Coturnix japonica: one gene and its partner. The protein of the gene in region 1 purifies or fractionates together with the protein of each later gene. This does not show direct contact. Links are inferred from orthologs where the notes say so. Each region holds a gene or a part of one and is shown on either strand. Other genes may lie near its edges.

Evidence for each region. Proteins that work in one complex are often made in the same cells at the same time.
Region 2: the proteins of POGZ (region 1) and CHAMP1 purify together in Homo sapiens (affinity purification with mass spectrometry; 4 studies listed by BioGRID and IntAct, with this or other methods). This does not show direct contact. The link is inferred for Coturnix japonica from reciprocal best matches to the Homo sapiens genes POGZ and CHAMP1.

Annotation. Positions count from the first base shown.
Region 1 is NC_029540.1:2,371,015-2,374,161, forward strand, and holds part of POGZ (pogo transposable element with ZNF domain), read left to right. Parts: intron 1-467; coding exon 468-608; intron 609-1,116; coding exon 1,117-1,176; intron 1,177-1,463; coding exon 1,464-1,576; intron 1,577-2,290; coding exon 2,291-2,315; intron 2,316-2,433; coding exon 2,434-3,147. UniProt on the Homo sapiens protein: Plays a role in mitotic cell cycle progression and is involved in kinetochore assembly and mitotic sister chromatid cohesion.
Region 2 is NC_029516.1:123,375,343-123,380,064, reverse strand, and holds the start of CHAMP1 (chromosome alignment-maintaining phosphoprotein 1), read left to right. Parts: upstream 1-1,673; 5' UTR 1,674-1,851; intron 1,852-2,283; 5' UTR 2,284-2,384; exon of another isoform or gene 2,385-2,399; intron 2,400-4,722. UniProt on the Homo sapiens protein: Required for proper alignment of chromosomes at metaphase and their accurate segregation during mitosis. Involved in the maintenance of spindle microtubules attachment to the kinetochore during sister chromatid biorientation.

The sequences.
Region 1 (3,147 bases):
ACTGGTTGCCAAGGAAATGTTTTGCCAGGAGAATCTAGCTTCCCACAAAACAACGTTAAAACATGTTCTGAAAGCTCTTCAGATGAAACTGAAATGCAGAATTTTCCATGGCAGGGGTGTTCCATGTGGCAGGGGTGTTGGAACCAGACAGTCTTGGAGGGCTCGTCCAACCTAAACCTTTCTGTGGTGATTAATTAGGTGGACAATTTGACAGAAACAATGAGATTACATCACCATAAGGGCTTTCTGCCCACCCTGTGGCATGCCATTTTGTCTGAATTTATGTTTATTTATTAACCACTCCATTACGATGTGGGAGGCATTGAGCCTGGCATTGAGGCACCCTGAAATGCTTTGGTGCAGGATGAGACCGGTTTAACTTCAGGAAGCTGGATGTGTGTCCTGTTGTTGGTGGTTATTGCTGCAGATGCCTTTCCCCACTGATGGCTATGTCCCTCTCTTCTCAGGAGTGTCCTGGGCAGGCAGACCTGCCTGGAGTGCAGCTTTGAGATCCCTGACTTCCCAAACCACTTCCCCACCTACGTCCACTGCTCGCTGTGCCGCTACAGCACGTGCTGCTCCCGAGCGTACGCCAACCACATGATCAAGTAGGTGTGATGGCACAGAAATCCCTCCTGGCTGAATGTGGTAGTGTCCCACAAAGGGGGTTCCACAAAATTCCAGTCCATTGCCTGTTCTGTAAGGTGTGCGTTCTCTGTCAGCACGGATGTGGGCGATGGCTTTGGGATAAGATGGGAAAATGAGTGCAAAAGCTGAAGGATTCGTTCCCCACACAGTACTATGGCTATCAGCCTGTGTACTGCAAGCTCACTGTTCCAGGCTTCTAGGATTTCTTGCTAAAGTCTTGTATTCACATTAAAAATACAATTTAAAAGTAAATGAAAAGAAGGTTATGCCATGGTTCTATAAACCTGCGCAGGACCTTTGTTAGACCCCAGATCAGGAGTTTTGTTTCTTTAAATAAAAGACAAAATAGGATGATTGAAACCAGGGTTGGGTCTGTCTTTGTAAACATGCCAGGTTTCACACAGTTTTATATAGCCCTTCAGATACCTGGAATAATTCTGATGTTTCATTAACTCTTTTGTCATACAGCAACCACGTTCCCAGGAAGAGTCCCAAATACTTGGCTTTGTTCAAGAACTACACTGCCTGGTAAGGGAAGACTTGTCATCTCACTTCAGTCACCCGGGGATTTGGTGTGCATTCATTTCCTGATCTGTTGTGTTCTTTACTTTCACGTCTGCTTAAGAAGCACTGCTTAATATTTGCAATGCAGTAACATAGGTCAAGTGAAGGCAACCACCCCTGCCTTCCAGATGGAGGACAGTACATTAGGGAGGGGACACTGCAGCGCTGAGAGGGATGTTTTGTCCCTGGTATGGGCATACATCTCTTCTAATAGCAAATGCTGATACGAAGTTCACTTTCTTCTTGTACAGTGGCGTGAAACTGTGCTGCTCCTCCTGCCTCTTTGCATCATCAGAGGGTGATGTGATGGCCAAGCATTTGGTCTTCAACCCATCACACGAGTTCAGCAACATTGTTTTCCGAGGTAGGAGTTTGGAAAAGGAGCAGAAAAGTTGAAATAATGAATGAAAGACATAACCTGTGAGTTCCTAGAGCCCAGCTCAAACACCGGTGTGGCCAAGCACTCACTGACTGCTGAGCTTCAATAAAATGCAGCTTGGGGACCTTCTGTAGTTGCTGAATGTGTCACAATTGTTATGGAGATGAGAGCTAAGCCTCCAGTGAGGCTGTCAGCTTGAGCTCAGCTGCGCAGCTTAGATCTCAGGAGATATTCCCAGGAAAGAACAATACGGAGGGCTTCAGCGAGCTGCTCTGTTCCTCTGAGACATCATTGTACCTCTGTGACACGGAGAGGCCTGGAGCAGCTGCTGATGTTGGGCTTTGAATGGGGCCTGGAGCTGCTGTTCCAGCAATCGTACCCATAAGTGCAATTTGCAAAACTGAAGGTCATTGCCTGCAGCAATCTGGCTGAAGTTGAGCTTTCCAAACCAAACTCCTGGTGTTATTTCTGATGGATTTTGGTTTTGGTGGGTTCTGATGCTGCTCTGCACTACTGGGCAGATCTCATTGGTTTGGATATGGGTGCAAGACCTCTCAAGGAAGGGAGGGGGTCAAATGAGCATCTGGTTCTTGCAGCAGATAGAGATGCCTGAGCCTTATCTCTGCAAAAGCACAGTGTATTTGCACTGACTTGTTGCTTGTTTGCAAAGCCACAACTGTCTTTGTCTTTTTCTCGCAGGGCCTACTTGGATATCACATTCCAGGTAAACTCTTTGTGAACTCTCCTATCATCTGTTGCAGTCTGGAGGTTGGTTGCTTGTTTTCCCTCCTGTGGTTTTATTTCCTTGGTTTTAAGAAGGCACTGTGTTCTCTCCCTTCAAGGCACATTCAGCCCCAGGACAGAAGCATGAAGAACACGTGCCCTGCCTATTCCCCCAGTAAAGCTGCTACTGTGAAAACTAAGTCTGTGTTACCCGCGAAGGACGACCTGGAGCCTGAAGTGGCACTGGCAGCCCACACCCAGCCCCTGCTTTGCCAGGAGGAAGAGTGCTTAAATATCGATGCTCAGGAAGACGAGCAGCCAATGAAGGAGACCGAACCTGCGAGCAAAAAGGAGCAGCTGTCGGTGAAGAAGCTGCGGGTGGTTCTGTTTGCATTGTGCTACAGCACTGAGCAGGCGGCCGAGCACTTCAGGAACCCACAGCGGCGCATCAAGCGTTGGCTCCGGAGGTTCCAGGCTTTCCAAGAGGAGAACTTGGCGTCGCTGTCGGAGGGCAAATACCTGAGCTTGGAGGCCGAGGAGAAGCTGGCAGAGTGGGTGCTCACCCAGAGGGAGCAGCAGCTGCCCGTCAATGAGGAGACGCTCTTCCAGAAGGCCACCAAACTTGGCCGCTCCCTGGAGGGCGGCTTCAAGATCTCCTACGAATGGGCCGTGCGGTTCATGCTGCGGCACAACCTCAGCATGCACACGCGGAGGGCAGTGGCCCACTCGCTCCCCAAAGAGGTGGAGGACAACGCTGGCTGCTTCATCGAGTTTGTGCAGAGGCAGATCCACACGCAGGACCTGCCCCTCTCCATGATCGCAGCCATCGACGA
Region 2 (4,722 bases), on another chromosome or scaffold:
GAGAGGAACCCACAAGAGCTAGAGAAGAAATTATGCACATCCTCACATGCTTAGCATTTTTTGTCCAAAGGACACCTGCATTCTGTTTGATTGCAGCGAAGCTGGCCTTGGGTTTACACATCTGCACACACAGGGTATCCAGAACATTGATATTCACAGGGGAAGCCGGGTGGGAGGAGCTGCCACCTGCTCAGTGCTTGCTCTTTTTCCTACGCGCCTCCTGATGACACAAAATAAATGCAGGCTTGCAGCCTGTCTTTGTACACAGTCACTGTGGCGTGAGAGCTTTATTTCCACAATAGCAACTTTGTTTTGCAAATTCAGCTCTGCTGAAAGTAGATCCAGCTTCCCTGAGAAAAAAGGGAATTGTATCTAGTTACATCACAGCTGATTTTGGTTCCATCTGCTTCCTTGTTTTTACAATATAGCGCTGTCTCTTCAACACAAATCGTCACCACCCTGATAGCCTCACTCACTTTCTGTTGTCCTATTTCTTACTGTGGTGCCAACCTGTTCCCTTGATACCTACACAGAGGTAGTATGGACTTTTAGCCACAAGTGCTGCCAAACACACTGCCTCTGTGTGGGCTCTGAGCTGTGACGGATCACTGCTAAATGCCACCTGATGTTACGACAGATCATGGAGACAACCACCAGCCCTTCACAAAACAATACAGGCTTGGGCTAATGTTTCAGCACTGCTGAGGTTTGTATGCGGATTCTATCTGAAAGTGAAAGCAGAAGCAGTTTTTGGAGACCTTTGCTGGGTGAGGAGACCGACAGCAGAGCTCATGTGTCTCCTGCAGTGAGGACACCACGATGCTCATTCCTCCTAACCTATAGACAGCAACACCAAACATTTTAAAGATGTTTTTAAGAGATCGGTACGAAACTATGAGACCAGGACAGCTGGACTAGATGGTTGTGTAGGTCATTTCCAACCTTGTGATTCTATGAAATATTTACAATCATGGAATCATAGAGCTGCTCAGGTTGGAAAAGACCTTAAAGATTATGGAGTCCAACCACAGCCTACCCATAGTACCCTAACTAACAGCTCTCTGCTCCACTGTGTCTCCGAGCACCACATCCAAAGGGATTTTAAGCACATCCAGGGATGGTGACTCAACCACCTCCCTGAGGAGCCTGTTGCAGTGCTTAAAGGAGTGTTTCCTGACCCAAAGCTTTTACTGGCCCAAGAAAGACAGCTTCACTTAGCGCTGCTTTAGCAACCCCACCACCAACGCAGGTTAGACACAGAAGGGCTCATGTGAGCACTATAGAGGCCAGCAGAGCACATTAGGGCAGAGCAGGTAACCCAGCACAGCCATGAGACCATCCTCCTGCTGGTTTGAAGCAGGGCACTGAACTGACAAAGGGGGCGTGGTTCGTGTGAATTAAGCCCATTCTGTGCAGGTGTCACCGCAAACAAGAGGTTCATTGCTTGATGCAGGTTAGATCTGTAATTTAATTTAATTGTAATTTAGCTCTTGGAAGGCGTAGCCCACATCAACCCCGCACGACGTCCCATAGCTGACAGGATGCTCCCGCCTCCCGCCGCCGCTCCGCCTTACGGCAGCACCACCTGACCGAGAAGGCGGGAGGCCGCGAGGGGCGGGACTGAGCGCGGCGCCGGCGCTTCCTGTTGGGCGGCGGGCGGGCCCGGGGGGGCGGTGAGGCGGCCGCCATTCGGCTGCGCGCCTCCTCACGGCGCCCCCCCGTCCCCCCGCCCCCTCCTTCTCCTCCTCCTCCCCGCCCCTCGCACGGCCCGAGCCCGCTAGCGAAGCCGGCCCGGCCCGGCCCGCCGCCGTGTGTCCTGTGTTGCGCCCGGCCGCTGGAGGTGCCTCGGCGGTGAGTGCGGTGAGAGCGGGGAGGCCCTTCCCGCCGCCCTCAGGCGCCGAGCGGGCTCCTCTCCGCCCCGGGCGGCGGGCCGGGGCCTTCCCCTCGGTCGGGGCCGCCTCGGGGCCGCAGGGCGGGGGGCTGCGGGGTTCGAGTGCGGGCGAGGCCGGGAGGCGGCGATGTGCCGGGCCCCCGCAGGCGACGCCTCCCGGCCTCGCCCCCACTGGAACCCCGCAGCCGTTCGGGGCGATCGGAGCCGGCCTCGTGCCGAGCCGGGCCCCGCGGGGAGGGAGGGTCCGCCGCACCGGGGCTGTAAGTCGGCACTGCCGGGAGCCGGAGCTGGGGCCGAGCTGTGCGATTTGTGGCAGGGAGGTGGAGATTCCGACTTCGTTCTTCCCTTCCCTCAGCCGTCCTCACGTCGAATTTTGTCTCGGTGTAATGCAGGTGGAGTTCGTAGCTCGAGGTCACCGCGGGAAGGGTATGGTACAGCGTGCCTGTGTGTGCTCCTTGGTCCCGTGCCGCTTCACCAGCTCAGCTCTGCAGAAGTACGTTGTTTTGAGGTCAGTTTTGGAAGCTAACAGCGCATTATTGCTAATACGGAGTTACACTGCCCTGTCTGAATGATATGAAACGGTAATTTCTTATCCTTAATCTTGATGTAGGTATGTCAGATACTTAGTACTTTAGGTTGCCCCTCGTTCTTGTACTAGGAACTCACGTTGCTCTGCAGACTTGTCCTAGCAAAGACAGAAGGCCCATGAGGTAGGTGAAGTGCTGCATCCTTCATGTTCTCAAAGCCTTCAGCATCAAGCACTGATGACACTGTTCAGTTTTCCTCTGAGCTGAACCTGGGACTTCATCGTGCAAGAGCCCCCTTGCTGGACCAAGTGCATGCTCTCCCAGCACATCTCTCAGTGTTGGTGGCTGGCAAAGTCAGGGTGTCGGAGCCTCCTCTCCTAGTGCAGTTTTAAAGCTGGACCCAGCAATCACTGCTGATGGAACACTGCACAAATGTGATTGCTGGTGTTGGCAGCGTGGCTGTGAGTAGTCAGGTTTCTGTGGGCTCTGTGGGGTAGCAAGAGCATGGTGCTGCCTCTTGTTCCCTGTGTGCTGGAGCCAACCCTCACATCTCCTCTGTGTACATTGGGAAGCACCTGCTCCGCTTCATCGCTGCCTGTGGGATCTGAGCTTCTGTTTCTTGTCAGCCATTGCACAGGTTTAGGAGAAGCAGGGTGTTGCCACAAGAGTGCTCCTGTCTACTTCTTGGCACTGCAGGAGTGTGTCACTTTCCCTTTTGCCTAAATACAGCTGCAGTCTGATCTGGTCCTGCTGGTAGAAGCCATGGTGCAGCTGTATCCTGGTGTCTGGTGCTGGGTACTAACTTTACAGTCAACCATCTCCATTGACAGAGAATGTGGCTGAAGTCTTTGCCTGAGCTTCCACCAATGGAAGTGAACAGCCATCTTTCTTGTGCAGTGGACAGGGCTTGTCAGAGCAGAGCTGTGATGAGTGGCACCCTGTACAAGTGAGAGGATTATCTGAGGAAGACATTTCTAGGAGTATGGGCTTACTTCATCATTTGCTTGATGAACTGATAGAATCGTGTTGCACGCTTGTGTGGGAGGATGCTGGAAACCATTGCTTCACACTAGTTTGTTGCTCATTTTTCAGGATGGTGTGGATGGCAGCACTATTTTTAGGTCCCGCTGGATCTGGAGAAAACAATGCAAATACAGGGTATCGTATAAAATGTATAACTTCCTTTTCAAAGCTGCACTGGCGCCCCTGATGTGCTTTGCACATCCTCATTCTCTGCTTGTCTCTCATTATGATCAATTCTTTATCAAGAGGGAGAGAAGTATAGCTCCTTTTGTCAGTGAGAACCAGGATGGACTGGTTTTGAAGGATGATACATCAGTCTGCATGTTGCCATATTCTGAAATTCTGCACATCATGTTAAAAAGAACCTGTAACTATGGGATTGAAATGAGATTGAGAAATGGAGACATTTTGTTAGTTGCCAGAGTCACTGTGTTGTGCCTAACACTGTGGGCCTATTTTTGGTGGCGCACAATGTCTCCTGCAGATTTCTTTTATGCCACTGGGAGGTTTGTGAGAGGTGTTGGGATGAATGGCTAATCCTGCACTGGGATTGTGACAAGCAATGAGATGCTGAATCCTGGAACTAGGTCTGGAGTGGCCGTAAGTCCTGCTGGGTTTGGGCTGTTCCTGTTGCTCAGCTCAACACAAGCTGAGTCCCTTCATCAGATTTTCACTTGAGTCCTGGGTGTTGATCTGTGTCCCTTATAGGCCAGCAAAAAGCTGTGGTCGAGCTAAGAGCTGAGCTGGCACCAGCACTGTTACTGTGCTTGATGCTTGTGGACGGGAGCACTTTGCTGTTCAGATTGAAATCTTAACGTCTTGGAAAAATCTGAAGAAGCTTTGTCTGCCCTTGGTTAAAGTTTAGTATTACAAACTCCAGAATCTTAGTGGAGGCTTCTTTGCTTCTTTTCTTGTCAGTGCTTTGTCTTGAGTAGAAGCAGGTTGTGTGGACAGGGCAAGTGTAAGTGCAGGGCTTCAAGCTTCTCCTTCACTTGTAATGTATTCTTACTGAATTAATTGGTTCTGTTTGGTTATATCTGTATTTGTGGTTTGTGTGTCACAGTCGTGCAAAGTGAGGAAAGCAGGAGGGGATGCAGAAATAGCAATTAAGGAATCCAGAGCACTGTGTAGTTGCAGAGTGGTGAGAAGCCTCAGCTCCAATCAGTGTAGTGTGGTGTGTCCTGCACCTGTGGGTTGGGACCTGACAAGAGTGCTTAGAAAAACTGCACAGCAGTTATTTGTACTTGGGCAGATAGCAGCTCTTTTTTAATCTTAGGGGTC